3 linked regions of the Ovis aries genome follow. The protein of the gene in region 3 interacts with the protein of the main gene of each other region in a pairwise test. Links are inferred from orthologs where the notes say so. Each region holds a gene or a part of one and is shown on either strand. Other genes may lie near its edges. The genes, in order: ERBB4, ERBB2 and HDAC6.

Evidence for each region.
Region 1: the proteins of HDAC6 (region 3) and ERBB4 interact in a protein complementation assay, tested with the Homo sapiens proteins (2 studies listed by BioGRID and IntAct, with this or other methods). The link is inferred for Ovis aries from reciprocal best matches to the Homo sapiens genes HDAC6 and ERBB4.
Region 2: the proteins of HDAC6 (region 3) and ERBB2 interact in a protein complementation assay, tested with the Homo sapiens proteins (2 studies listed by BioGRID and IntAct, with this or other methods). The link is inferred for Ovis aries from reciprocal best matches to the Homo sapiens genes HDAC6 and ERBB2.

The regions. Positions count from the first base shown.
Region 1 is NC_056055.1:214,421,763-214,431,867, reverse strand, and holds the start of ERBB4 (receptor tyrosine-protein kinase erbB-4), read left to right. Parts: upstream 1-4,629; 5' UTR 4,630-5,381; coding exon 5,382-5,463; intron 5,464-10,105. UniProt on the Homo sapiens protein: Tyrosine-protein kinase that plays an essential role as cell surface receptor for neuregulins and EGF family members and regulates development of the heart, the central nervous system and the mammary gland, gene transcription, cell proliferation, differentiation, migration and apoptosis.
Region 2 is NC_056064.1:39,834,061-39,843,583, forward strand, and holds the end of ERBB2 (receptor tyrosine-protein kinase erbB-2), read left to right. Parts: intron 1-217; coding exon 218-265; intron 266-1,839; coding exon 1,840-1,978; intron 1,979-2,060; coding exon 2,061-2,183; intron 2,184-2,473; coding exon 2,474-2,572; intron 2,573-2,833; coding exon 2,834-3,019; intron 3,020-3,137; coding exon 3,138-3,293; intron 3,294-3,385; coding exon 3,386-3,461; intron 3,462-3,767; coding exon 3,768-3,914; intron 3,915-4,241; coding exon 4,242-4,339; intron 4,340-4,537; coding exon 4,538-4,726; intron 4,727-5,007; coding exon 5,008-5,260; intron 5,261-5,389; coding exon 5,390-5,745; 3' UTR 5,746-6,274; downstream 6,275-9,523. Other genes in the region: MIEN1 (migration and invasion enhancer 1), read right to left, coding at 7,208-7,291, 7,379-7,455, 7,894-7,991, 8,096-8,184. UniProt on the Homo sapiens protein: Protein tyrosine kinase that is part of several cell surface receptor complexes, but that apparently needs a coreceptor for ligand binding. Essential component of a neuregulin-receptor complex, although neuregulins do not interact with it alone.
Region 3 is NC_056080.1:56,243,941-56,253,463, forward strand, and holds part of HDAC6 (histone deacetylase 6), read right to left. Parts: intron 9,335-9,523; coding exon 9,230-9,334; intron 9,114-9,229; coding exon 9,045-9,113; intron 5,585-9,044; coding exon 5,458-5,584; intron 5,362-5,457; coding exon 5,296-5,361; intron 5,204-5,295; coding exon 5,144-5,203; intron 5,065-5,143; coding exon 4,975-5,064; intron 4,652-4,974; coding exon 4,545-4,651; intron 4,456-4,544; coding exon 4,388-4,455; intron 4,129-4,387; coding exon 3,957-4,128; intron 3,868-3,956; coding exon 3,739-3,867; intron 3,581-3,738; coding exon 3,412-3,580; intron 3,086-3,411; coding exon 2,952-3,085; intron 2,433-2,951; coding exon 2,364-2,432; intron 2,254-2,363; coding exon 2,061-2,253; intron 621-2,060; coding exon 471-620; intron 1-470.

The sequences.
Region 1 (10,105 bases), on a different chromosome or scaffold from region 3:
AAGCTTAGCACACTTTCTAAACTAGTAGAACCTTTTTGCTGAAGCTTTGAAGATTCATGCATCCCTATACAAACCTGAGAAGAAAATACATGGTTTCTAAATTATGACTTCAGTTGACTATTTGGCAGGTGTTCAAGAAAAATTCTAAGAACTCTTTGTGATCTTGGTCAGAATAATATCCATTTGTGTGTGTATGGCAAATGTAACATTAGATTCTTTTGAGAAATCTTCTTTAACCTAAACATGATCAAGCTCTTTGCTAAGTTAAGAATACAGAAGGAAGGAAATGCAGCATAAGAAGCTACCTGAAAAAATAACAGACTTTATCTTGATTCAGATTTCAGGCTAGGTAGAGTCATAGCCTTGATAAGTAACCTAAGTTAATAAATTTATAAATAAATGGACATGCAAAAACAGAACTATCCCTTTTCCTCTTAGATTTCAATTGGCAAAAGTTATTAAAGGTTTGCTTTGTTTTTTAAAGTTATACGGCAGTAGAAAAAGCTGTGTGGGGCAAAGGACTTAGATGAAGAAAATACATAAAGCAGAAGAAACACAACAGGAAAAGGCCTTACCAGGGAGATCATTTTTGCATAACTTCTTTGCAAAGACTACTCTGTCCACCAGGTTGAAATTATTTTGCAGTTTCAACCACAAACAAAAAATGTCTGTAAGGACTTGGACAGACACTGATGAATGGATATGAAAGCAACACAGATATGATTTATTTACATTCAGTCACTCCTCCTTAGCACTTGAAAAATTACAGCTTCAGTTCAGTTGTTCAGTCGTGACTGACTCTTTGCAACCCCATGGACTGCAGCACGCCAGTCTTCCCTGTCCATCACCAGCTCCCAGAGCTTGCTCAAACTCATGTCCATTGAGTTGGTGATGCCATCCACCATCTTACCCTCTGTCGTCCCCTTCTCCTCCCACCTTCAATCTTTCCCAGCATAAGTGTCTTATCCAATAAGTCAGTTCCTCCCATCGGGTGGCCAAAGGATTGGAGTTTCAGCTTCTGCATCAGTCCTTCCAATGGATATACAGGGCTGATTTCTTTAGGATTGACTGGTTGGATCTCTTTGCAGTCCAACGGACTCTCAAGAGTCTTCTCCAACACCTCAGTTCAAAAGCATCAATTCTTCCTCATTCAGCTTTCTTTATGGTCCAACTCTCACATCCATACATGACTACTGGAAAAATCAAAGCTTTGGCTAGACGGACCTTTGTCAACAAAGTAACGTGTCTGCTTTTTAATATGCCATGTAGGTTGGTCATAGCTTTTCTTCCAAGAAGCAAGTGTCTTTTAATTTCATGGCTGAAGTCACCATCTGCAGTGATTTTGGAGCCCAAGAAAATAAAGTCTGTCACTGTTTCCATTGTTTCCCCCTCTGTTTGCCATGAGGTGATGGGACTGATGCCATGATCTTAGTTTTTTGAATGTTGAGTTTTAAGGCAATTTTTTTTCACTCTCTTCTTTCATTTTCATTAAGAGGATCTTCAGGTCCTCTTCACTTTCTGCCATAAGGGTGGTGTCATTAATTAAGGCTTAATCATGCACATAAACGAAAACATTAACCAAACCCAAAATATTCCCGGGAAGTCCTCTTTGAATATTAAATTAACTAAAGTAACAAAAACATTTCTTTAATGTATATTTATGAATTTTTTTAATGTTTGAAATTTTAAATTTTGTTTTTATGCTTTGAGACATTGAACATCACCAAAGTATTAGAGAATTTCAAAACTCTTGGGTTAAGAGCAACGATGTTATTCCAAGTGCTAGTTAATAAAAAGCAGCCAACCAGAGGCAAAAACACTGTATCCGTCATCTGATTGATTATCATAATACTGAACTTGATTGGTATTTGTATCTACCAGAATTTCTTGGCTATTCGAATAGAAAAGATCCAGAGTTTTGAGTAGCTCACAGTAATATTGTGAAGGTTATTTGGATATTTTCCTAAGGCCGTTTAATATGTGGCTGTGTTGGTGCCCCAGATGAAGTAGTATGTAGGAGTGAGTGGATAAAAGGGAAAGAATATAAGAAGTAAATGAAATCTGTGGAAATTGTGACTTGTACTTAGTGAGTGATCAGTAAATCATAGATTCATAGTCTTAGATTTGGGACATAACCATCCCTTTCTTTAACGATGAGGCCAAGGGCTCAGGTCTGTGAAGTGAGTTGTTTATGATCACCAGATAACTTAGAAACATATTGAGTGAGATGATGCTGGCCAGGGAGGGAAATTAGAATTCTGTATTTATTTCTAAATGTTCAGGAGAAGACTAATGATTCATGATAGGTTCTTGTTCTTTTTCTTACTTGGTATTTGTCCCAAATACAGTGAACTCTGAGATCAGTGTGTTTCTTTCTCCTACCAGTAGTATTCTGCCACTCATGATGTCAAAATTCTCCTTGAATTCTACCACTAATGGAGGAAATGAAGTGAAAGAAAGAGGTCGACTCAGGATAGACCAGTCACCGTTGAATATGATGCTCTTTTTGAGTAGGGCTTTCATGCAAATTCATTCCATAGGCTAGTGGTCAGATACACAACTTTGGCCAGGTATCAATCAGTAGGTTAGAACCAGGAAAATGGGATTAAGCCTGAACAACTTGAGGATTAAAGGCCAATCACAGGTGTGTCAAGTCTAATGTAATTGGTGGGTATCTTGTATAGTTTGTCTACCATCCAAAATATATGTAAGACCAATTTTTTAAAACCAATGAATATTAACTGAAATACCTCTTTTACCAAGAATTACTTTAGATACATGATTGAAACCAAAGTATATAGGAGAGTTCCTGCCCCAACAGAACTATCAAATTGATGGAGAGTAAAAATTATTACAATGGACTCAAGTAGAAAAAAAAAATCCAGAGTATTTAATTTTTCCCTCAATTTAAGCTAAAATACACTATTTATTTCTTCATTTCTTTCAAAGTAATTGTTGTCAGAAAGAAGACTTTTTCAATACATAAATTTAAGTTTTTCTAAAAGCAATACTTAAAAAAAATCACTTAAGTTGCATTTCTGGGGAGAGGTGGAAATTTTTAAAAGAAGTAGTTTTCATGGAAGAGAGGTGTTTGAGAGTCATCCTAAGAAATACCAGGGGATTGGGGGAAAGGGGAGTGGAAAGAGATTGAATGAAAGAAAAGAAAAAGGGAAGACGGTGAGAAAAACAGCAAAGATAATCCCAAAGAGCAGTGTGAACACTTCTGCTGCAGTCAGTACCACTGGCCAAGTCACCATCACCTGCTCAAGGCTTAGTTTCTCCTGGCCCTGTGCTACTTCTGGATAAAGCTGCATGCTCAGCTTGTTTGGCCTCCTCTCTGTTCCTCTTACTTGCTGTGGACCTAAGAAAGGGAAGGCTGAGGCCTCTGGGAAGAAGCTGCTGTTTCACTCTGTTCCAACTCCACGCAAATTCTTAAGGGACACAACTATAGATAAAAGACGTGGGGGAGGAATAGGAAGGTCTCAAATGATGAGCGAGGAGGCAGGGTGACTTAATTTTTAAGCTCCCCTGATACTTTTATGTAGTTGCTGCTTCTAGAGAAGCTGAAAAGGGAAAATCATTCATAGAACGCCTGTGCAAATAGCAAACCAATAATCCCCTGCCCTCAGGAGGTTCTGGCCTTTGTCCTGGGTACAGTTTCAGAGTTGTAAAAAGCAAGGGATATGTGCACTGATATAATCCAATCCCATATGTTTCAGACTAAGAAGAGTTCAGAAACTCCTATGGCTAGCAATGACTTCTGGAGGTCGTATGAACATGGAAGAGGACTAAAGCAGGACCCACTGTAGGATAAACCTAATTATTTAAGGTTGGTTATATCCTATCATTTGCCTTAAGTTATTTCAGACTGATCAGCTCAGCCCTGCATCAATTTCTAGCCATTTAGAACCAAATTGGTGGCTTTGGACTAGAATCGGCTTAATGAGAATGAACCTAAAACCAAGTTGTTCTAGAGTCCAAGGAAAAGATGAAGTGACCCCATAAAGTCTAAAAAATCTAAGGATGCAGCTCTACAAAAGTGAAAGTCTAGTTTGATCAATTTGCGAGCGTGGGAATGATGGGAGAGGTTGTATAGTTAGTTATACAGACTGAAGAAAGAGGAGTGCTTAGGTTCCCAGGACTACCTACTCCGCAGATGTTAACAATTACTGAACCAGCTTTTGAACTACTGTCTGAATGTGAAGCACGAGGAAGTAGGAAGCGAGGTAGCCTAATACAATTGAAGCAGCGTATTCTTTTCTTCTGTTTCTAGGGCAGGTCCAGTCTGTGGATGAGCACCGTGGAGTGTGGAGTAAATGGTGACTTTCTGGCTAAAAAAAAAATCTTTTTTGTAAAGCATCTCTCAGGTGGTCTCCACGCTTTCCGGGCCAGCTGTCCGCCGTGTGTCTGGGGGTGGGGGGGGGTGGTCTCTGATTCAGTTTGTGGCCTCCGGTGAGCCCTTTAAATTCAGCTCCCCCCGCCCCCACCGCTAGGCTCCCAGCTCCCTGACAGGTGTTTTCCCAACTCCTGAGGCCCACGATTTTGGGGAGTGGCTGAACCAATAAGATTTCCCTTTGGGGGGGAAGGCGTGGCTAGTTGGGTCAGAGCGGGGGCGGGGTTTGCGCGGCTGAGCAGAGCCAGCCTGGCTGCGTGGAGGGTTGTTTTACCCACCGCCCGCTCGCCCCCAACCTTTTTTTTTTTCCTCCCGGACGGAGTCTTATTAATTTCTCGGTGGGGCTGCAGCTGGAGACCGCGGAGCGTTGGAAATGACGCTCGGAGCTTTAATTACCGCAGCCGCCGGACAAGTGTGAAGAAAGCTGACAGCAAAAAAAAAAAAAAAAGGACAGGATTGGGGGTGAAGCGAGAAGCTTCCCCCTCCCGCCCCTTTCCTCCCAATTTGGACTGGAGGTGCAAGGAAACTGAAAAGGGAGTCGAACAGAGTCGGGCTGGGGGGAGAGGCCGGAAACCTACCGCCTGTTTGCAATCAACTTTTTTTTTTTTTGGAAACCCTCTTCCGAACCCTTTCTTTTTATTGTTGGCCAACCAGGGAGAGAGAGCGAGAAAGTGAGGAGGGAGCGAGAAAACGGAGGCTCACACGGGGACGTAGCTGCCCGGTCCGGCCCGGAGCGCCGCCGCACACCCTCCAGTACACTCCCACCCGCGCGCGCCCTCCCGCGCACCCTCTCCCGGTCCTCCGGGTCCGGGCCCTAGACCCGCGGACGCGGACTCGGTCGCCCGCGCTCGGAGCTGGTGCACCGCGCGCGCCAGTGCCCCTCGAGCCCCCACGCGCGCCCGGCCGAGGGATCTCCTCCGCGTGCCCGAAAGGGGATTATGCCATTTGGACATGTAATTGTCAGCACTGGATCTGAGACTTCCAAAAAATGAAGCTGGCGACAGGACTGTGGGTCTGGGTGAGCCTTCTCGTGGCGGCGGGGACCGTCCAGCCCAGCTCTTCTCAGTCAGGTGGGTCGCGGTCCTTCTCGCGCTCCCAGGGTTGAACCTGCTGCTGCCGGCCGAGCGGCGCCGGGTGGCTCCTCGCCCCCTGCGCCCTTAGCCCAACCAGAGACCCTCTCGCTCTCGGGCGTGGAGGGACCACGTCACCCGCGCCTCTTCCTTGTGTTTTTCGTTCGCCCCTCTTTCTATCCCAAACTTACCCTCTGCGTGGGCATGTGTTTCTCGTGAAAAACCACTCTGCGCCCCTTTCTCCGTCCCTTTTCTTTCTCTCTCCCCTTGTTTATTTCTCGCGCGTTTTCTTCGAGCCTCTCTAAGCCGGATCCCTTCTGGTAGCGCCTGTTGTGCGGGACGTGGGAGACCCAAAGCCGGAGTCAGAGGAGACGCTCCTTGCAGCGTCTGCCTACCCCCCGCCCCCGCCCGCGAGGGAAGAAGCCTCGGAGAAGCGTTGCCCTGCCGGGGCTCCGAGGCAGGATTGGGATCCCGGGGCCGTGGCAGCTGGGCTCCGGGGAGCGGGAGGGCAGTGGGGAGAGGAGCTCCGAGAGCCGGCTTTGCACCTGTGTGCGCTGCCCGCGGCCGCTGCGTCCCTGGCCGTCCGAGCCTGCGGGGTCAGACCCGACTCGAGCCCAGCCTGGGAGCTGGAGCACGGCGGGAGGACACGCCTCGGCCGGGGGGCCCGGGAACGCAAGGCCTCCGCTGGCGTCCCCAGCCCTCGCCCCGCGGACTAAGGGGGGCTGGCTGGCTTGCTTGACCTTTTTTTTTTTTTTTTTTTTTTAATGGCCTGACTGACTTAAGCCGGGAGCCCGGCCTTCCCGTCGGTTTCTGTGTTTGGCTTCAGGAAGAGTTCTTCCTGTAGTTCAACTTGCTATTGGCCGGAGTCCCTCCAACTTCTGTTTACTGCCGGGCGCGGCTGCCGAGCCAACCCGTCAGGCGAATTGATAGAACCCAAGGCGGGTGCTGCGGCACTGGGTGCGCTACCACTGCTGCCCGGGGAGCTCGCGCCCCGGGACCCCGCGGGGCAGGAGGCGAACTGACCCCCGGGGAGGAGGCGCGGCGGGGCCCGCAGGGTGGATGACAGCCCCTGCGGGCCCAGGGAGCTCAAAGTTTCTGACACTTGAGTTTCCTGAGGATGAAAGTGGGACAGGAAAGAAAGGGCCAGGAAAACCGGGGACTGACGTGGCCAAGGGGGGCCTTTTGGAGAGCCGGGGAGATGTCCGGAACCATACGGGGCTGGTCGCGAGGGCGTGGGAGGCACCTTGAGAAGATAAAGCCCCCGGGGAGTGGCGAGAGGGAGAGTTTCAGGCCCTCGGAGCGTGTCCTTCTGACCTCACCAAGAAAACAGCGCGCTGGAGTTTTCCCGCTCCGCCCCCGCCGCCGCCGCCTCCCCCCGCTCCCCCCTCGCCTAGTAAATAACAAGTTACAATCCTCGAGCCTTTCAAAATGACCTTCGAATGGCACAATGTGCGCCGTTTGTTCTGGCCGTTTGCACCCTCCCAATTACTCCGAAATTCTTCATGCATACCAGGTCCCGGGCTCCAGCCACCTCCGGAATTACACCAACACCGACTTGAGATTCCAAGCGGCCTCTTAGATACATCCCTTTTTATCTCCCTCCCCACTCCGCGTCCCTTCATATTTCCCCTCAATGGGTTGATTATGCACATTGAACCATTCAGAAGCAGTTGCGACTGACACGCAGGCTTAGCCGAGAGGAATTTCCACCGGGCGACCTACTGGGGGGCTGTCTGGTGCAATCTCTGCCGCTGGGGGACCCGGCTGCGAGTCCGCAGCGATTGGGTATTAACTGTGCGGCTCGGGCTTGAGCTATGCCGAAAAGCCCTTTTCAGAATTTCTGCAAGGAATGTAATCCAAATTAGTTCTGCAGCTGTCCTCTTCCTCGTCTCTGGCGACACCGACTCGCACCCTCGCTGGTCTCTTCTCGCTTTCCCCCCGTGAATTGTCAGACCCACACAAGTGAGCCCAGTTAGAGCGCGAGGATTAGCGTGCCATTGTTGTTCCGAGTGTGACTCTGTACTTGAAATTCTGGGGGCACAAAGGCGAGCCTCACTTGTTCCAAACACAAAGTGATCTAGATGAAAGGGCCGCACAAAGAAAAGCTCCCGGTTGCCTCCCTGGTATAATTTTAACACGCAGGCTAAGGTGATCCACTGGAAACTGTAAATGCCTCCAGGACACCTTCCCCCCCCCCTCCCCCCAGTCTTCCCCACCCCCACCCTGCCGCACCTGACAGGAAAAGTTTGGCTGGTTTTAATGTGGTGCTTTTATAAAACCAAGTTACATTCTAGGGTATGAGTGAGGCTCTGTGTGTTTGTGGCTGTGGATGTATGGCTGTATGTTCCCAAGTAAATACATATTGCGTGTCTCCCCTCTCGCGGTTAGCCGTCAGTAGCAGTTTGGAGGAGTTTGTTTTGGTCCAAATGAGAAATTAAGTGCGGATAAGTAAACTAAGCTGCCAGAGGGCGACAAGATGTTGAGTGAATTGCTTTTAGATGAAACAAATTAAGGAAACGAGGGAAGACAATCTGCTTCTCGCATTATTAGACACGCTTGGAGTTCGGGGGAAAGTGGCATATTTTTGAAATGCTAATTTCTTAAGAAGCAGAAGGAATGCACCTTATTTACTGCTCTATGTGAACAGAATAAAAATACGAGATGAGCAGGGTTCTGTTGTGTAGATCTAAGATATAAAATAGTTGTATCTGAAGAGGGCATGTTCTTATTTTTCTCTTCCTTGGGGGGGAAAAATCAGCGTTAGAGAAGATTTTTTGTTTGTTTTGTTTTTTAGTATTCTGAAAGACTTCGTCTCATTTCGAGTGATTTATTTTATCGAAAAATATTATAGCCAAGAGCCCTTTATTTGGCTGTTATAAAACCTTTATCTCTAAAAAGAATTCCAAAATTTCAGTCTTCCCGCCATGATGGAAAAATGATCAGTATCACCTTTGTGTTGAAATATATATGTATATATGTGTAGTGGTACTGAGGTGGTGGTCTTACGTACCTTAATAGATATGTGATGAACAAGTTCAGCCCCTATTTTTTATTTGCAAGTAACTTAGTCCTGCTTTTCATTCTATAAAAGAGCATGTATTTTTCCTCCATCCTTGAGATATATCTCCAGAATCAAATTTTTAAACATTTGAGAAGAAAAAGGTGAATAAAACTTAGTTAAATGATGAAAAGATGTTCAATATAATTAAAAAAAATCAGTTCTCTCCCTGCATGTATTTATTGTAAACACACCCATGAGTACAGTTTCTGCTTTTTCTTTTCTTTCAATTTTTGAAATTCATATATATGTAAAAGGAGCCTTTTTAAAGTAAGGTATTTTTTTTTCTTCAAGATGCTTCCAAATAAATGTATACCTTTTATTGTGACTGCAAATCACTTGAAAATACTATAATGTGGACTGATATGGTAAAATTGGATGGTAAAATTGTGTCATGATTCTTTGATTTCTGATTATTTTTTCCTTAAACCAAACTCCTTTTATTTTTTTCATACATGCATAGAAAGTCAAATTTTTTGAAATCAAGGTACTTGCTCCTTTATATGTATAATTTTCATTTAGTCACTGAATATGTGTCTTAATTAAGAAATTGCATTAGAATATTTACCAGGGCATGCACTTCATGGAAGATTTATGTATTTTTTGTTCTAGCCTGAACACACTTAAGTTTGCATTGACTGATTTTTAGAGTTTGCATTCATTTCAGGAAAAACCATATTTTCTTCTTAAAGTAGATTCAAATATTTAGTATTCATGAGCTTTCATCCCTTTGGTTCTTAAATAGAAGTGCTATTTATCATCTGTCTTATGCATTCACCCTTTCCATTGCTATAGGTTCTTTTTTTACATCTTATTATTTATTGAGTTTACACATATGAATATATATTTTCCCCATCATCACTAAGGGTATTCTTTTTGTGCATGTCTTTCCCAGCAACCTGCTACTCAGCCACTGCAGGAGTCCTCTGAGCCAGTTTTCATTCTTTCTTTCTGATAAATCTGATATGGCTGGTTGGCTGGACAATCGCAAGCCATTCCATTGCTCAGATTTATTCTTGAAAGAAAATAAAAAGGCATCGATCCGAGCTCACTAGCACATCTCAAAAACCCTGACTCCAAGGCCAAATTTTTCTACAGAGAAGTCCCTTTTTTCCCTTCTCTCTCCCTCTTTTCCCCCTCTTGACCATAGAAGTTAGACTACTGCCGCTTCAAAAATGCTAGGGATGCAAGGCAATGTGCTGTATCTGAATATTCTCTGAAGCCCGGTGATTAGAGCCACCTTGAGATTAATGACTATGTAAGGCACACATTTTAGAAAATGACTTAGTGCACCTTAAACATTGCTGTGTTTTAAAGTGGTGTCATTTTTTGTATTACTTCAATCCAGTTGTTAAGAAAAGTTAGTATATATTAAAAGCAAGAATACGTTTTTGCTTTATTTGACAGTGTCCTGCTGCTGTTGGATATCCATGAGTAAATTTTAAGTGCCTGTAACATAAAGCAAATGATCAAAAAAACTCTGTTACTTGCAAACTTGTTGGCACTTGAAATCACAGTCGATTTTACCCCTTTGAGAGATACTGCTTTATAGAGAGAGATGTTAATCTTTACATTGAAATTAGC
Region 2 (9,523 bases), on a different chromosome or scaffold from region 3:
TTCCCACCACAGGGAGGTGCAAATGATATGGGTTTACAGACTGGAGGACTCCCCCGTGGGATGGTAGAAAGAGCCCTGGTGACCTCGAACCCAGTTTCTGCCTTTGTCAAGTGGGGATCCTAACCCAGTCACACCCACCTCCTGGGATCCTGTGAGGCTGGAGTGAGTGCAGGAGGTGGTTCCCAGCCTTGTTGACGGGACTCTCTCTCTCCTGCAGCTGTGTGGACTTGGATGACAAGGGCTGTCCCGCCGAGCAGAGAGCCAGGTCAGCCTGGTCCCCAGAATGCACCCCACATTGCCCTCAGTTCCCCACTGACCCCTGGGTGGTCCCTGCTGCTAGGTGTCATGTCCTGACATGACACGTGTCCTCCCCAGCCCACTCTTCCACTGTGGATGCTTCTTTCAGTTAGCTTCAACTAGGGGATGGAGGGGCTTCCCAGGTGGTGCAGGGGTCAATTGGCCTGCTAGTGCAGGAGACACAAGAGACTGGGGTTCAATCTCTGGGCTGCGAACATCCCCTGGAGTAAGAAATAACGACCTACTCCAGTATTCTTGCCTCGGAAATCCCATGGACAGAGAGGCCTGGCTGGCTACACTCAACGGGGTTGCAGAGAGGTGGACACAACTGGGAGGCTCAGCACATATGCACACACACATGCAGTGGGTGGAAGGCCTGCTCGGCTTGCTTGGGGGTCAGGGGGTAGGAAGACACCCAGCACCTCCCCACCCTCCCTGTATAGCTGGGGGTCTCATAAGGGACACAGGCAGCCTTCAACTCCCTGGGACTCGAGGCACGTTGAGAAGAGAGCATGGCTGCAGCACTGAGGGAGAGACAGTGAATACTTCCCTGGGGTCAGTGGGAGGCTTCAGGCACATGAGCTAGGTTTTGAAAGAGGGGCGCGAAATGTCACTTGTATTAGGAAAGCAACCAGGCAGCATGGTAAGAGGTGTCCAGAAAGTCTAGGATGTATTTGCTGAAGATTCTGCTGTGGTGGGTAACTGACTAAGCACAGAGGAAGGAGTAGGGGGTGAAGTCTGAGTCAGTTCAGGGCCGGATCTGGAGGGCATAGGCTCTCCCCTACCATGAGGCCACAGGCCCTGTGATGTCCATCACTACCATCGCTGGACTTGATTTCTAGGCAGAGGGGTGTTTTGGGAAGGGTTTTAGGGAGAAAAAGATCGGAGTGTGTCCTGAGTAAGCATTTGTCCATGACATAAGGGTCCATTTGAGGTCTGTGATAAGCCAGCCCTTGGCTAAGCAAGGGAGGGGAACAAGGATGACAAGGATGTAGGGTCAGTGCCCAGGAGATCCTTCTATCCTAGGATAAGCAGAGTCTTGAAAGATGACCTCATGCAGAAATGGTGATCCAGGCAGAAGTATTATAACAACGGCTGGGAGATTTGGAAATCGTGACCTATGGGTGAAAATTCTGGCTAGAACATCAGAATCTCTGTGTGCACCTTCCTGGGCCCCACCTCATACCACAGTCAAAGTCTCTGGAGGGTGGAGCTCCGTACTCTCACAGGTTGACAAGAACCCTGGGCTAGAGCCATGGGCAAGAGCATAGACAACTTGGAGATGTAGGTGTAGAGGGTTTTGAATCTTAGCAAGGAGTCTGGACTTTATTTCCCAGACAGTAAGGAGCCAAGATGGATTTTAGAGTAGGTCAGACAGGATGGGAGCCTGTGGGTCACCCTTCTGACTTCCCTTTCCAAATGCCAGTGACAGTCAGCCCCCTCTCCCTCCTCCCCCCACCCCACCGCGCCCCACCGTGGGACCCCTTCATCCCCCCTGCCCCAGACTGGTCCCCAATCCATGATCCTGGCTCCTGCCCCCAGCCCTGTGACATCCATCATTGCCGCTGTGGTGGGCGTTCTGCTGGTTGTCCTTGTGGGGCTGGTGTTCGGCATCCTCATTAAGCGAAGGCGGCAGAAGATCCGGAAGTATACAATGCGGCGGCTGCTGCAGGAGACGGAGGTGAGGCGACCTGAGGGTCTCTCTCGAGCTCTGGGGTCTGCGGCCCAACCTGCAGCACTGACCCACTACCCCCTCACCCCAGCTGGTGGAGCCCCTGACGCCCAGCGGAGCGATGCCCAATCAGGCTCAGATGCGGATCTTAAAAGAGACAGAGCTGAGGAAAGTGAAGGTGCTAGGATCTGGAGCTTTTGGCACCGTCTACAAGGTCAGGGGTGGGGCCAAAGTCCCCGGGTGGGCGGTCCTAGAGGATGCTGCAGGGTGTGGCGGAGGGTGTGCTGGGACAACAGCCAGGAACCGCGGGTGGTGCAGTTGAGTAGGCACTTAAGGATAGGGGATTGGGAGTGGCCAGTGGGTCTAAATGGTGAGGCTGCTGCTAAATAATGGGATTGGCCCAAGGGTTGGGGAGGGAATTGGGAGCACAAGCAGTGACCCCAAGTAGGACGGCTGCAGGTTGATCTGGCCGGTCCTTTTGCTCACATCCTCCTCTCTGCCCAGGGCATCTGGATCCCCGATGGGGAAAATGTGAAAATCCCCGTGGCCATCAAGGTGTTGAGGGAAAACACATCTCCCAAAGCCAACAAGGAAATCTTGGACGTAAGCCCTTCCACCCTGTCCAGCTGGGGGTATGGGGGACTGGGCTCTCTCTCTCTTCACTGGGGTTTTGGGGGACACCCTGTGATTCCCCCAAATGTCTACTCTTACCCTCCCTAGTCTGTGGGCCATGGTTCCGATTTGTGATGAATGGGATTGGGTTGGCGGAGGGCCCGTTATCATGGCTTAGCCCTTGGGAGGGGTGTGTGGTGGTTGGGGGTTAGTGGTTTCCCATACCCTCTCAGTGTGTGCCCTTGTTTCCAGGAAGCATATGTGATGGCTGGTGTAGGCTCCCCATATGTGTCCCGCCTCCTGGGCATCTGCCTGACATCCACAGTGCAGCTGGTGACACAGCTTATGCCCTATGGCTGCCTCCTCGACCACGTCCGAGAACACCGTGGGCGCCTGGGCTCCCAGGACCTGCTGAACTGGTGTGTGCAGATTGCCAAGGTATGCACTTTGGGGGCCAGGGCTCTGCAGGTGCCCTTGGGGAGCAAGCCTCTGGATAGGGAGGTTTCCTGGGAGAGTTTTGGCAGAGCGAGGTCCACACTGATGCCTCTGACCCCAGGGGATGAGCTACTTGGAGGATGTGCGGCTCGTGCATAGGGACCTGGCTGCCCGGAACGTGCTGGTCAAGAGTCCCAACCATGTGAAGATTACAGACTTCGGGCTAGCGCGACTGCTAGACATTGACGAGACAGAGTACCACGCAGATGGGGGCAAGGTTAGAGGAGCAAACCGAAACAAGGGGGAGTGGGGTCTGGCCCCTGGGAGAACTCAGACCTGGTTGGAGGACTTCCTTCTCTGCTCTACCAGGTGCCCATCAAGTGGATGGCATTGGAGTCCATTCTCCGCCGGCGGTTCACCCACCAGAGTGACGTGTGGAGCTATGGTGTGTGATGGAGTGGGTAGGGAGGGTGGACAAGGAGCCATGGCCCTGGGGAGAATGTGGGTGGAAGGATGGGGTGAACTGATAGACACCTTTGGTATAAATGTGAGAAGGAAGGAAGTGGCTGCCAGTGCCTCAGGCTGCCAGAGTGTGTGTGCTTCCCAGGGACTGGGAAAAGACCAAGTTATCTCCTGTCCTTTGGCATTGCATCTTTCCTCCTTCCCCCATGGTGCCAGGCTCTTCGGCAGAGCCTCTGAGGCTCCGTACACTAAAGCTGCCTCTGGTCCTCCCACCCCATCTATGCCCCAGGTGTGACTGTGTGGGAGCTGATGACTTTTGGGGCCAAACCTTATGATGGGATCCCAGCCCGGGAGATTCCTGACCTGCTGGAGAAGGGAGAACGGCTGCCCCAGCCCCCCATCTGCACCATTGATGTCTACATGATCATGGTCAAATGTACGTTCTTGAGCTGTGTTGGCTGCTTGGAGGAGGGGTGGGTGGTCCTGGGCGGATGGGCCTACAAGGGGCATGGGCCAAGAGCATGGTGATAAGGTTAATGGGTCTCAGAAGGCTCTCCCTGCCCTTTTACAGTACCAGTCCAGAGGAGCTAGCGAGGGCCAGCTAGGAAAAAAGACTGATCCAAAGTAAAAAGGAGAAACTGGTAGATTCTCCATCATCAGAGGGCTTTGGACTCTAGTGTTGTCTAGACTGGGCGTGAGGGTGAGGGGCGCTGCATGCAGGCTGCAGCCAGAACTGAGATGCCAGGCTCTTGCCCACCCCCAGGTTGGATGATTGACTCTGAATGTCGGCCGAGGTTCCGGGAGTTAGTGACTGAATTCTCCCGCATGGCCAGGGACCCCCAGCGCTTTGTGGTCATCCAGGTACTGAACCTTTCACCCCATCCCTGCCTATGGCTAAGAGCACTCTCCCTTAGAAGGGAGGAAAGGAAGAATGATTCCTGGGTCCCAGGCTTCCAAGCTCCTGCCTGACTCATCAGACTTCTAGCCCTCCCTGAGCCACCCCTAGGAGGCTGCGTACTGGGCTGGGGAGAGGCTGCCATGCGTCTCCCTCCTCCCCAGAATGAAGACTTGGGCCCTGCTAGCCCCCTGGATAGCACCTTCTACCGCTCGCTGCTGGAGGATGACGACATGGGAGACCTGGTGGATGCGGAGGAGTACCTGGTACCCCAGCAGGGCTTCTTCTGCCCAGACCCTGCCCCAGGAGCTGGAGGCACGGCCCACCGCAGGCACCGCAGCACATCCACCAGGGTTAGTGCTCCCATCGCATGGGGTGGGTGTCGTTGGTTACCTCCCGACTCCAGCGGACCAGGGTTCCTTCCTCCGATGTCCTCCAGCTGTTACCTCTCATGAAGGAGGCCCCATTTTCCCTAAGAAGGATTCTTACTGCTTTCCAACCGTGATCCCATTCTTTCTACCATGCCTCTGTCATACATCAGAGATGATTTATCTCCTGGGACTCTGTCACTTCCCATGGAACCTCCATCTCAGATCCATGAATGACCTCCCTTTTGACCTTCTCTTGTCCTCAGAGTGGTGGTGGTGAGCTGACACTGGGGCTGGAGCCCTCTGAGGAGGAGCCCCCCAGATCTCCGCTGGCACCTTCCGAAGGGGCAGGCTCTGATGTGTTTGATGGCGACTTGGGAATGGGGGCGGCCAAGGGGCTGCAGTCCCTCCCCCAACACGACTCTAGCCCTCTACAGCGGTACAGCGAGGACCCCACAGTACCCCTTTCTCCCGAGGCTGATGGCTACGTTGCCCCCTCGACCTGCAGCCCCCAGCCCGGTATGAAGTCAGGCTTGAGCTGAGAGGTGGGGATTGGGGGTGCTCTGCCCAGGGCCTGCTGCAGGGCAGTTGTAGCAGCTGGGACACACAGATTTCACCCTCTTACGATTCCTTCTCCTGTCCTTTCAGAATACGTGAACCAGCCAGAGGTTCGCCCACAGCCCCCGTCACCCCTAGAGGGTCCTCTGCCGCCTCCTCGACCTGCAGGTTCCACTCTGGAAAGGCCCAAGACGCTCTCCCCTGGGAAGAATGGGGTTGTCAAAGACGTTTTTGCCTTTGGGGCTGCCGTGGAGAACCCCGAGTACTTGGCACCCCGGGGCAGGGCCGCCCCTCAGTCCCACCCTTCTCCAGCCTTCAGCCCAGCCTTTGACAACCTCTACTACTGGGACCAGGACCCATCAGAGCGGGGCACTCCATCCAGCTCCTTTGAAGGGACCCCTACGGCAGAGAACCCTGAGTACCTGGGCCTGGACATGCCAGTATGAGCCAAAAGGCCAGGGCCACTGAGGCCCTGCTGAACCCTCAGGGCATGTGGAAGGCCTGACTTCTGGCCCACGTCGGCACCAGGCAGGGAGCAGGCCCTTGGATCACGTCCAGGGGAGCCTGCCATGCCAGAAATCTCCTTTCCTACTTCAACTCCTAGGTGGCTGAGAGCGGCCCAGCCTGACTTCTTCCAGACCCTTGGCACTGAACGACTTAGGGAGGCTGGGCCGAGTGCGAAGAAGGCCCCAAGGGGGTGTCTAGGAACTACAGCAACCCATTCAGAGACTGTCCCTGAGACCCAGCTCTGTCCCTGGGAAGGAGGGAGCAGCAGCAGCACCCAGATCCAGTCTTTGTACAGACTTTTTTGGTTTTGTTTTTACTTATGTTTTTTTGTTTATTTGTTTTTTTAAAAATGAAATAAGGACTTGGTGGAGAGTGGGTATTGGAGCAGGGGCATCCCTGGGGTTGGGGGAGGGATGTCCTCCACACTCACTTTCTCCATTTGCAAATATATTTTGGAAAACAGCTGGACACCAGCCTATGTCTAGGGGTGGCTTGGAGCTGTCCCTTTACTGCTCACCTCCTAACTTACATTCAGTTCATCTTTCCTGGAGGGACTGGCTAGGAATCTTGGGAAAACTTGAATTAGGAGCCTACTTCCAGTTTTCTGGCTCTTGGGTTGCGGGGAAACTGGGAATTGGGATTCTGATCTGAGAGCTCTTTGAAAAGATCATTCTTAGGAAAAAAAAGAACTCCTAAGGCCACCCACCCACCAGAATGGGGTAATTTCCTCTCTGTAGGTAGGGGGAGTCAGGGAAGGACAGAGGAAACAAGATGCACTGTTGACTCATTTTTCTTGCCTTGGCAAGGAAATCACTGAATTAAGAGTAGCTAGGGACAGGGAATCGTGCAGTCCATGGGGTCGCAAAGAGTCAGACATGACTTAGTGACTAAACAAATCCAGAAAAAAACCACCCACCCAGCCAGCACAGTCATGTTGGTGGCATAAAGGTTGGGCTGGCCTCTGTCCCCCTTTCCTCCCTCCCCACAGTCCCAAACTGGACATAAGACACACACTAGTGGGCACAGGAGTTTGCAGTGCCACTTTATTGCCAATAGCTGACATTGCCTGGGGCCAGTGGAAAATAAATTAGAACTATGGTAACATCTGACAGGTATGGCTAAGCTGGAGAGGGGAGCAGGTTTTTGTGGGCACTGATCTTAGGGAAGGGGTGTAAGGTGGCTGTGGAAATGTCCATGGAGAGCATCTCTTCCACCCCTAAGACCACAGAACCATCTCCTCCCTCCTGGTGCCCACCAAAGGGGCAAAGTGGAGGCCAGGGTCTCTTAGCTGCCAGGAGCTCAGTGAGGTGAGACAGGCAGTGGGGAGCCCTCAGCAGGATCAAAGTGGGGCAACCAAGGCTTGGATCCCAGAAGAGAGCAGGAACCGAGAATCACATCCAGTCACAGGATAACACAAGGAGGGCGGCTGTTGGTGATCTTTTCGAGGGGTTCTCCGTTACTGGCTCTTCGGATAGCCTCAATGAGCTAGAGGGCAGAGATGTGGAATGGGATGATGTGTCCCTTGGAGGGGCAAGCTGAACTAGGGTTATTCCCGGTATTGCAAGTACTCACATCTTTCTCATAAGGAAAGCCCCCATTCTCCAGCTTGGAGAACACCAGCTGTCCATTGATTTCAATCTCAAAGGCCCCTAGTATTAAATGAATGAACTGTATGAATGAACTGTATGCTGAGCACAGGCAAAAGGCGGGAAGTTCTACAAAAGGGGGTCTTCCACACTCCTTAGACTTCATACAAGCTCCCTCAGCTACATTAGAGATTCTTCAAGCCATTTCCTAGCCTAGGGTCAAGCCAATGAAACTGAAGGGAGGCATCACCCGTGTGCCCTTCCTTTGAACACCTGGTAACTCAATGGAAGTTTCCCTTCCCTCCAACACTTCGGTCTCACCCGTTTCTCCCAGTAGGCTTCAAATGTGACTCCCCTCACCTATGGAAGGGGACTCAAGCGGGCTGGACATTTTACTACTTGCCAGGTACTGGGGACACTATAAAGCAGCCAATGCCAGAGCTAGAAAGTGATGGAGCTGGGATTTAGAACACTGACTCAGCAGGTGTTCCGCAGCCTCACCTGTGCCCCCCAGGCGCGACTCGATCTCGATGCCTGGATACTGCTCCTTCACGGCACTCGCCAGCTCCAGGTAGGTCGCTTCGAAGCCGCAGGGTTCGCTAGGGAGAAGATACCGGAGGTCCGGTTGGGTTTCGGAAAAGGTACCTCCGGTGGACCCACCCTCGTCCGGCCCGGATCCCCGTCACTGGCAGGGGCCGCTCACCAGTACTCAACCACAATGCGGACCCCATGGCCCGGTTCGGTCTCCCCGGGAGGGGGCGCTACGGCCGTCGTCCCCGTATCCCCGCTCATTGCTGCCAGCTCCCTACAGCCGCTGCTTCCGGGTGTGACGCGACGCCGCGGGCACGTGATGGGGCGGGGCCGCGCGTGACGTCGGGTCGCCCCTGCAGGCGGCTGCTACTGCGTTCTGACCGTGTTACCTACCAGCTAGAGAGCTTGGGCTGGGCCGATCGGCCTAGACCACCTTTCCGGGCCCGAGTTCTCGGAGCGCCGGTCTTGCCCCACATCTAGTGTCCGCTGGACTTCACGGTCTTATTTAATCTAATGACATATCTTAGACTGCAGAGGGCCCGGGGTTGACGGATGATATAGAATAGTTGCCGTTTCTCCTGTCTTGCTGATGGCATTCTAAAGCATTCCACAGTTACACACTCAGGTACTTCTTACTCTTAAACGCTAAACTGCAGGCACAGCCTGGGTAGTTTCCGTGTGTCTCATGCCTTCAGAAACCTTTAGGCTTTAAGGCTTCTATTCCGCAGGCTTTGTGCGGCCGTCCCGTGCACCCAGTTCCTCCACCTCCCCATCTCATCCTACCCCGCCACCGAGCTGGCTTTTTTATTCCCGTTTTGCAGCTCTAGAAACGGAGACTGTCTCCTTGCCTCTTCTTTCCCTGGGCCCCCACCAAAGGATCCTCTCAGGTCACCCACTCTAGCATCCCTTTAAAACATTCATTTCTAAACGATTCAGTGACTTACGGAGTTGTGAAGCCATCTCCACACATTTCCACCGACATAAAAAGAAGTCCCACCTGCGTATTTTCAATCTTTCCAGCTACCTGCTCCAGCCCTAAGCAACCACGGATCTGCTTTCTATCAATTTGCCTTTCCTGGATGTTTCATATAAATGAAATACTATGTAGTCTTTTGCTTCTGACTTCTTGCACTCCTTTTAAAGTTTTTGAGGTTCATCCATGTTATAGCATGTACTAGTGGTTGCCTGGAAAATCCCATGGACGGAGGAGCCTGGGTAGGCTGCAGTCCATGGGGTCACTAAGAGTCGGACGCGACTGAGAGTCTTCACTTTCACTTTTCACTGTCATGCATTGGAGAAGGAAATGGCAACCGACTCCAGTGTTCTTGCCTGGAGAATCCCAGGGACGGGGGAGCCTGGTGGGCTGCCGTCTATGGGGCTGCATAGAGTCGGACACGACTGAAGAGACTTAGCAGCAGCAGTGGTTCCTTTTTGTTGCGGAGAAATATCCCAGTGTATGGATGAAATGTTTTGTTTATTCAATACCAGTTGATGGATATTTGAGTTTCCAGTTTTGGGGTATTTTGAATAATGCTGCCATGAATGTTTGTGTGTCTTTGTATGTACATGTGTTCTTACTTCTTGTGGGTAGGTTCCTACC
Region 3 (9,523 bases):
CCAGCCACACCTTACAGACAAGGATACTGAGGTACAAGGGTCAGGGGCACTGAGTAATTTACAAAAGGTCAGTGAACTTCCTTTGTCCTGGGATTTTGTTGGATACAGCTCAAGCAGAGGTAAAAAGCACAGACTTTGGCGCCAGGCTTCTTGGGTCCAAGCCTGCCTCTGCCATTATTAAATGTGTGATCTCTGGCTAGTCACTACAGCTCTCTGTATTTCAGCTTCCCTGATCTTGAGAGAGGAAAATGGTAAGGTCAGCAGACCTTACCTCCCAAGACTGCTTTAAGTAAATGCATTAGTTACGCATGTTAAGTACTGAGGGAAGTGTCCTGCACATAGTGAGTACTCAATTAAAGCTGCTCATGCTGGTGTTATTAATGCACAGTGTATGCCCACAATCCCAGGTGGGGACACCCAAGCCTTCCCGACCATCCTCCGACCATGGGAAGAGGGACTAAGAGAGTTACCTCTAGGATTAGGATGATATGGCCATTGGCCAAGCCCATCAGCAGGTGGGTGAGGTGGGCATAGCCCTCAGGCGACACCTGGCAGCCACCCAGAGGATCCCCCCGAGCAGCGTCGAAGCCAGCTGAGACCAGCACCAGTTCTGGGTTAAACTGAGGCAGAGAGAGAAGAGACACACTGAGCATGAAGGAGGGGGCAGGGGGACTTAGTAGCTCAGGGAGACCCAGAGACATGGAGACAAGGACAAATGAAAACAGGGTGATGCAAGTCAGAGGGATTGAGACATGGGACCTGGAGCCCAGGAGACACAAGCCCAGAGCCCTGAAAATAGGGAGGGCAGGACGTGGAGACACAAGAGAGACTTGGAGACATGGACACATCAGACACAGATTTTGAGACACAAGATAGAGAGATGCAGATGTGAGAAATGCATGGATGGGGACATGAAGCAGAATTGTAAGCTGTGGAGACTCATGTCAAGAGACAGTGACATGAAACAGAGAGATTATGTTCTCACAATATACACCCAAGGCTGAGACCAAGAGGCAAACACTCCCCTCCCTGGATCAAACATGGGACACATGTGCACAACACAGGGTTTTATACACAGTGCTAAAGAGAGGTACACACATGCTTCCATCATAGAAGATTACAACAAAAGTGCCACACACAGAAGACGGTCACACACAGCCACACACAATCAAACAGTCTCATACAGACTGGACTATTCATGGTATTAGTCACACATACACACACACACATAATTTCTCAGAGGGAACAGTAATCCACAGCTACTCCTGCACCAACACAATTATACACGTCACCACCAAAAGCAAAACAGTCATACATGCTGTTGCACCCACAGGAAATGGACACTTGCACAGTCACACACATACTATTTCAGAGTTACACAAACACAGATGGTAGTCACAGCCACTGTGCACAGACATACATACACATCTGAGCATGCATGTCTGCACAGAGGTCACAAAAATGGCACTCACATTCATCAACCCTCAGAGTAAATCATGCATACATGATTTGCCACGGACATACATGGTTTATACATGGAGAAGAGTTACCTATAGCTACTTAGTGTCAGGCAAATATATATTAATATATAGGCCATAGCAGACAGTTGGAGAGATGACTGTCAGAGAGAGAGCTGTGCACAATATCACAGCCATCACACAGAGCAATGGTAGTGACAAATAGCTACCCGTAGAGTCTCACACATACTCGAACCCCTCAACACCGTGCAGTTCCATAAAGATGGCAGTCACATGGGGCCACCATCACACACAGACCAGCACTAGTGATGGTGTACACATGGGACATGTTCACAACCAGCCATAATTGCAGGCAAGATTACTCTCACACACCCAGAAGTCCTCACAGTTACACACAGAGGGCAGTCACAGACAGATACTGCACAGACATACCCAAAGGCCATCACACAGTCACATCCCCTCACCCAAAGCCATCACTACTGTCACCCACAGGCCCTCTCACAGGATCAGTCACCTGTAAGTTAGACACATGCACACTCACTACCACATACAGAGTCTCATCACGTGCACCCCGAATCATACCTCATAAGCAATGGGAAGCACCAGACGGTGCCAGGCAGCCAGGTAGTCAGCATCACCCATGCGGGGCCCATTCCAGGCCACATTGACAGTGAATCCTGTGCCTGTAGCTTTACCTATCCGGGTACAGGCACCCTCATTCCCCATGGGAAAGAAGGTACCATGATCATAGCGGTGCAGGGAAATGTACAGCACACTGTGGGGACAGGGTGGGAAGGGGGGACAACAGCTGGTTAGCAAGGTGCCCCTGAGGCATGGCCTGCCCATCTCCCTGACCACACTCCAGCCCCTGCCCCAGCCCCTCACCTGGGGTCCTCCTCAAATATGTGCTGAGTTCCATTACCATGATGGATGTCCCAGTCCACGATCAGGATCCTGAGGAGGGGACAGCACCTTAGTTACCTGGCAACACTGGTTCCCTGGGGGAGGGCAGGGGCTACATCCCTGGAGTCTGTGTGCCGGGACATTTACTGCGGGTGGCAGGACCCTGAGTCCCTGGGGAAAGCGCTGGGTGGCAGGCTTGTGGGTCCTATCAGAGTCCTAAGGGCTTCACAGTGGGCCAGAGCAGGTGCTCAGGGCCAGATCCTAGGCCCCATGTGGATAAGTGCCATGGGCCTTTTGAAGTAAGCACCAGAAGCCAGCCCCTGGGTTCTGTTAGGATAGTCATCAAGGGCCAGAAATTCTGGGGCAGGGGACCTTGGATTCTGTTTGATAAGCACCTGCATGCCACAATCTGGGGATCCCATTTGGGTCAGGCCCCAGAAGCTAGATCCTCCTTGGTCCTTTTCTGGAAGTGCTGGGCAACTGGACCCTGGGGTGGTCCTGGGTAACTTTGGGGGCTGCATTACAGGGCCTGCTGAGTAAGCACTGGGCAGTGGGGGCAGGGAGCCTTACCGCAGTGCATGCCCACTGATGGCCTGGGCATGGCGAGCAGCCACAGCCACAGAATTAAAAAAACAGAAACCACAAGCTGCATCCGGCTCTGCATGGTGGCCAGGAGGTCGCACTACAGCAATGCCATTCAAAACCTGGGGGAGGGGCAGGAAGCAAAGATTAGACCACCCACCCTCACCGCTTTCCCTCCCCTTCCCTGTCTCTTGTGCCCCTACTACTCCACCAGCTGCTAAGGCCTCCTCCCCACAGCCCTGTAGGCCCCATCCCCCTGGGTGCACTTCCCTGTGAGTAAGGCCTCTGGCGAGCTGGGGCTGTAGTCCCCTTCCATTGCGGACTGCTCTCCAAGTCCCCTTTCCTCAGGCCTGGCCCAACTCTCAGAGCTGCCTCTTTCTTGCCCGCCCCCCCCCTCCCAGGACTTCCTTGCCAGGAGCCCAAGGTCCCCTCCCCAAAGCACAGGCACCTCTCCTGCCAGTACTGCCTCCACCAGGCGACAGGCGGCGCCTGCAGCCAGCTGTGCGCAGGCAAAAGTGCTGGAGCAGATGTAGATGGAGTCATAGTTGGCACCCTCACGGCGCAGCTCCCGGGTCTTCATCTTCTCCGTGGCCCGCAGACGTTCCAAGTGCTCAGCACTGGAGGTACAGAGGGGGCACTTGAGAAGACAGCCAGGTAATTCTGTCCCCTCCACATCCTTCCCCACCCCATGTCTTGTAACAGCTCCATGTATCAGAGAGGCAAGCCCAGGCTCCATGCTCTGAGGCCCATCCTACCCTGGCCACATGGGTCTGACCTGTGGCAGGTGAGCAGCTCAGCATCTGTAGCAGGCCTTGCGGGCAGGGAGTGGCAGCGCTTGGCAAGGCCCAGTTCGTCCAGGTGATGCATGATACAGTGGATGCGCTGGGGCATCTCAGGGTGGTAGCTAGGAGTGAGGGAACAGAGGCAGGGCTTACTACTGAAAGCGGGGGTCCCTCCCCACTTCCCACTTAGCCTGGTTCTCTGACTGCTTACTTATCCCACAAGTTGTAGTGCTCCATCATCCGCTGGTCATAGACCAACCCCGTGCGAGCCTGTAGCACCGGCCATATCGGAATGGAGAGCTCAGAGGACTGTGGCAGTTTCTCTTCCTCCTTCTCTTCCACATCATCCTTCTCCACAGTGTCCTTTTCTTCCAGGCTCTCAACTGCAAGGGGAGGCCACATTCACCCTACTCCCTTATGCCGCCCCCAACCTAGATCCCTGTAATACTCTGGAACGAGGTTTACCCAAACCTAAAAAGGGGTGGGAGGCCTGAAATCAGGGCCCAGTAAGAGAGAGGGCATGATTCTCCCCTCCCCCCAGCAAGGTGGCTTCCGGAAGGTCAGAGTGGGGTCTGAAGAGAAACTCCTCCCACAGCTCATTCCTTACCCAACCCCTGACCCAACATACTCCCTGACACCTACCTGATCTCACAAGGCTCTCCCAGAAGGGTTCCAGGGCTTCTAGAGCACAGGAGAGTGACACCTGGGCACTGGAGGTCAAGTGAGGGAGAAATGTGACCAACCAGCTCCTGAATGAGCAGTGAGGGGCCTGCTTCTCCCCTCCTCCACCTGGGCTTACCTCGGGCAGGGGGCACCAGGAGACTCTAACATAGGACAAGGGTCACCCAGAAGGGTGTGGAGGGAGGCGCTGACACCTTCAGCCAGAGAGCGGAGATTATAGCCACCCTGGGAGAAGGAATTCATGTGAGGGTGGGCAGGAAAGAGCCAGATGTTATCAGAGAAGAGTATGAATGACACTGGGGTGGTGCTGGCTGCATGCCAAGGCATTTGAAGGGTGATTTCATTTGCTGAGCAAATAGTCTGAGGTGGTTACAACTATTATGATACACCTCTGACATAAGGGAAGCAGAGGCCTAGGGAAGTTGAGGGACGTAGGTGAGGTTGTCCAGCTAGTAAGTGGAAATGCTGGGACAGGAACTTCTGCCAGATTTGAATGTTGTTCTTCTGTCTTCCAGGATCCAAGGGCTGAAGTGGAATGAGTCACTCACCTCCAGTGAGAGGATCAGCTTGCCTTCTGCCAGACCCATGAGCAGATGGGTGAGCTGGGCGAACCCTGCTGGAGTGGCGGCCATCTCACCCTGGGGGGGACACGGAGGGTCAGCCTGGCTCCACAGGGCCTCCTTCTGCCCTCCCGCCATCCCCAAGTACCTGCCTTACCTTGGGGTCCCCTTGGAGGGCATCAAATCCAGCGGCTACCAGGACCAGCTGGGGCTGGAACTGAAGGAGGGAGGAATCACATGAGGCCACCTGCTATCATGGCCCATCCTTCAACATCACCTCTGCCCCAGCACACCCCAGAGCCCCAGGACCTCAAATGCAACTGGCAGGAGGACGTGAAGGAAAGCGGCGATGTAGTCAGCATCTTGCATCCCCACCTGCAGACAGGGAGGTATAATGGGGACGTGCTGCCATCTGCTCTGAAGGGCAGAAGTGGGTCTCACTTTGGGGGTGAAGGGTATGCAGACACTGACCTGGTTCCAAGGCACGTTGATGGTGTATCCCTGGCCTTGGCCTAAACCTGTGGTGGACCAATTAGAGGCCTTAAGATGGGGCCAGAACCGACCTTGCTCATAGCGGTGGATGGAGAAATAGAGGACACTGGAGGCAGAGAAAAAAAAAGAGGTGGGGGGTTCAGTCAGTATTCCCCAGAAACCTCCAACCCACAGCTACCACAGTTGACTTAACCACTCATTCATTCTCTCAATAATTTCCCCATGAATTTTTAAATTCATATATTCATTCTTCCATTCAGTTGCCAAATTATTCATCCTCCCATTCATTAATTCTTCCATTTATCCATTACCTCACTTACTCATTCATTTGGTCTCTTACTGAAATTCCTCCCACAGCAAACACTGCTGCCCCTTTCAGTGCCCATACAGTTCTACCTCTGAGACCCCAGGAGCTATCAGGTCTATTCCACCCCTAAGGGCTCCTGATCCCATTGGGAACTCTAGATCATGCCTGCTTACCTACCTGCCTCTGTTACCACGGTAGTGAACACAGAACACTGTGACACTGAAGGCCCATAGGGGCATGTGGCTCTTAGTGGGAGCCAGGTAAGGCTGAAAAGAATGCCAGGCAAGGCTAGGGAGCTTAGTATTTTCACTGAAGGAAGTGGGGAGACTCAGGAGCTATGTGGGGCTAGAGTGAGGATGCTGGCTGGGGCTCCATGAGGCCAGTGAGGGGGCAATTCCTTCTCTCCAATACCTTACAGGCCACCTCTATCACTTCTGTTTTCTAGAGAAACTGAGCACTCAGAGCAGTGAGGAAGACTGACACAGAACAGATACTGAAAAGTCACAATGGTATATGTTCTGATAGTAAGCCCAGTAGGAGGGCTTGATTTTGACTGAGGCAATCAAAATGAATATCTCTCATCCATCCTTCTATCCATCTGTTCATTCACTTCCTGCCTTGTTCCAGAAAGGATTTAAGGCAGCATTTTTTTTTTTCTATTTTAGGAAAAGGCAAGAAATAGTGGTAAGCAATGAATCTAGGCAAACTTAACAGTCACATTTTAATAAATGTTGATACTGTAGTTGTGAAATTAAATGCAAACTGGTACAAAAGGATTTCTGAAATCGAAGAAAACTATCTTGGAATTAGGGGATGAAGTCCATGCGAAAACTCTGGTCTTTGAGCAGATGAGGGGGTGATTGTTTCACTTTTGACTCTGATAGATAAATATATAGTAGAACATAAAGATTATCATCAGGGAAAGAAAGGAATAAAGAAAAGATCTGAAGAAAGTCCAAGTTTATAAAACAAACAGAAGGAGATAAAATAAATTCAACTGGGAATTCCCTAATGGCCCAGTGGTTAGGACTCTGTGCTTTCATTGCCAAGGGTCTGGGTTCCATCCCTGATCAGGGAACTAAGATCCCACAAGCTGATGCATGGCCAAAAATAAGTAAATAAATAAAATAAGTTCAATCAACTTCCAGTAAAAGAATGGTAGATTAATAGCACAGGTTTACCTCCTCACTCCCCTACAATCCTATCAAAAGATAGTAAAGATATTTTAAACAAGAATCAACGCAGGAAAACAGAGTGGGAGAAAGGACGTCAGACAATTAGCGACTTCAACAAATCCCTGGAAAGTTGTCTGAGGGTCCAGGGCCCCAGTGAGCCCTCTCCCATACTGAACATGTTGGGAGGATACCCAAGACAGTTTTGAAGTTTCCCTTCTGGAGAAGTCAAGCACAAATCTAGGTCAATGCACTCAAAGTCAATTCTGTCACTGAATGACAAACTCACTAAATTTATTTTTTCCTTTTAAGTTTTAGTTTATTAATGGAATTCTTGTTAATTTTCTTAGGCATGATAATAAGATTTCCTTAATATGATTAGTCATTCTTTTTAATAAATGCCTTGGAGGCAACAGCTGTATTCTTCTGTGGATATATGACTGACTATATGTATAGGTATGAAGAACTATGAATATATTCTTCCTTATGAATAAGAATGTATAAATGAAAAATAAATCTATCCATGACCTTCAATCATCCAGCTTCCTTATCTCTGTCTCTTAACTCCATCAGGAGGATAGTTCTTAAAACACTGTTATGAAGACAAAGAAAATAAGTAAACTAAAGCTTAGAGCATAGACACAGAGAGCAAGAAAGTGTTCTTGGAAATTAAAAGAATTCATAAACACACAATTCAACAGAAGGACTGTTGAATTAGAAGGTGAAGTTGAGTAAATCTCCCAGGACACAGAGCAAAAGGAAAAAGAGACAGAAGATATGAGATAAAAAATAAGAGATACAGAGGATCAACCCAGAAGTCTAACATCTGACTAACAAGAGAGACCAGAGAGGACACAGTAGAAGAAATCATCAACAATCTAACAGAAAACTTCTGAGGATTTAAGAAAGGTGTGAATATTCTGACGTAAAAATGTCTACCACTGGTAAGTAGAATCAGTGGTGAAGTGAAAATTTAGGGCACCAGGAAGAACCTAAAACCATCCAGAAAGGAAAATATATTGGAAAGGAATGAAATCAGACTGATATCTGAACATGTGTCGGCAACACTGAATGATGGAAAATAAACAAAGCAATGTCTGGAGAACCACCAACCTAGATTAGATAAAGTGCTACAGGAGCGCAAGAGCCCTTTTACAAGGAAGAAAGTAGAATTTATGCAGTCAATTCAATAAAAGCCCAGATAAAACATCCTACAGATGTGCTCAGAGAAGCATAAAATTATTTATTTACCAGACTATTCACTGTAGAATTGTTCGTAATAGCAAAGACTGGGAAGCACTATAAATGTCCTAGGATTAAATGACCAAAGTTACAGCCATACCATGGAACATGGTAGAGCCTTACAAAGAATGAGATGCTTTTCAGAGGTACTAACATGGAGAGGTGCCCACACCATACTGTTAAAAACAAAAAAGCAAGTTGCCGAAGAAAATGTAGTGGTAGTATATTAATAATAGTAATGATAATGATGAATATTTGTACATCTACAGGAAAAATTCAGTTACTTTTGAGGTGATGGGAATTACAGGAGAGTCACTGCTTTAGACATTTTGATATTATTTACTTTTTTTTGGCTGTGCCATACAGCTTGTGGGATCTCAGTTCCCTGACCAGGGATTGAACCCCAGCTGTGGCAGTGAAAGCCCAGAATCCTAACCACTAGGTGACCAGGGAATTAACTCCCTTTAATTTTTTAACAAATAATTGGAAAACAAAATAGTATTTTGAGGTTCACTTCAGCTCCTGGGTAACTTGGTAAATGAGCTCTCCAAATACCTGTGGGCTCAAATTTTGTCTCTTCAACTTCTCTGTATGACCTCTTAACCTGTAAGCCTCAGTTCCCTGATCTGTAAAATGGGGACCCCAATAGCCCCTGCCTCAGAGTGAAATTCTGAGAGAGACAGCAGACATGCAGAGGGCAGCATTGAGCCTGTTCCCAGGACAGGTCCAACCAACGAACATGAATGCCTTCCCTTCCCTCTGGGGCCCCTTCTGGCTGCGCCTGTAAAGGTAGGGGGTGTCTGGGAGTCTAGCATTTGGGGTAGTACTCTAACATCATGGCATACCTAGGATCTTGGTCAAAGGCGAACTGTATTCCCTGACCATGGTGCACATCCCAATCCACGATAAGGACCCTGTGAGTGGGAGAGAAGGGGGGCACTATGTAAGAAGATCAAGGAACAAGTGCCCAGACCAGGACACCCCACCTCATATCACCCTCATTACACCCGCCCTGCTGTTTGCTGCTGACCTCTGAATATCATGCTTCTGTTGAGCATAACGGGCAGCCACGGCCACGTGGTTGAACATGCAATATCCATCCATGAGACTGTGCTGGGCATGGTGTCCAGGAGGCCTGGGCAGGGCAGGGAAGGCCAGAGATTGCTGGTGGTGGGGTTCTCCTCGGCAGAGATGGACTCTTCCTGCTCTCTACTCCTGGACCACCAACACCCTCAGTGCTGATGCCTGTGCAGCTGCCAGGAACTGAGTACTTGGGGCCCTCAGACCCTCACCCCTAGTCTACTCTTCTCTCTCTGAGGGAAAT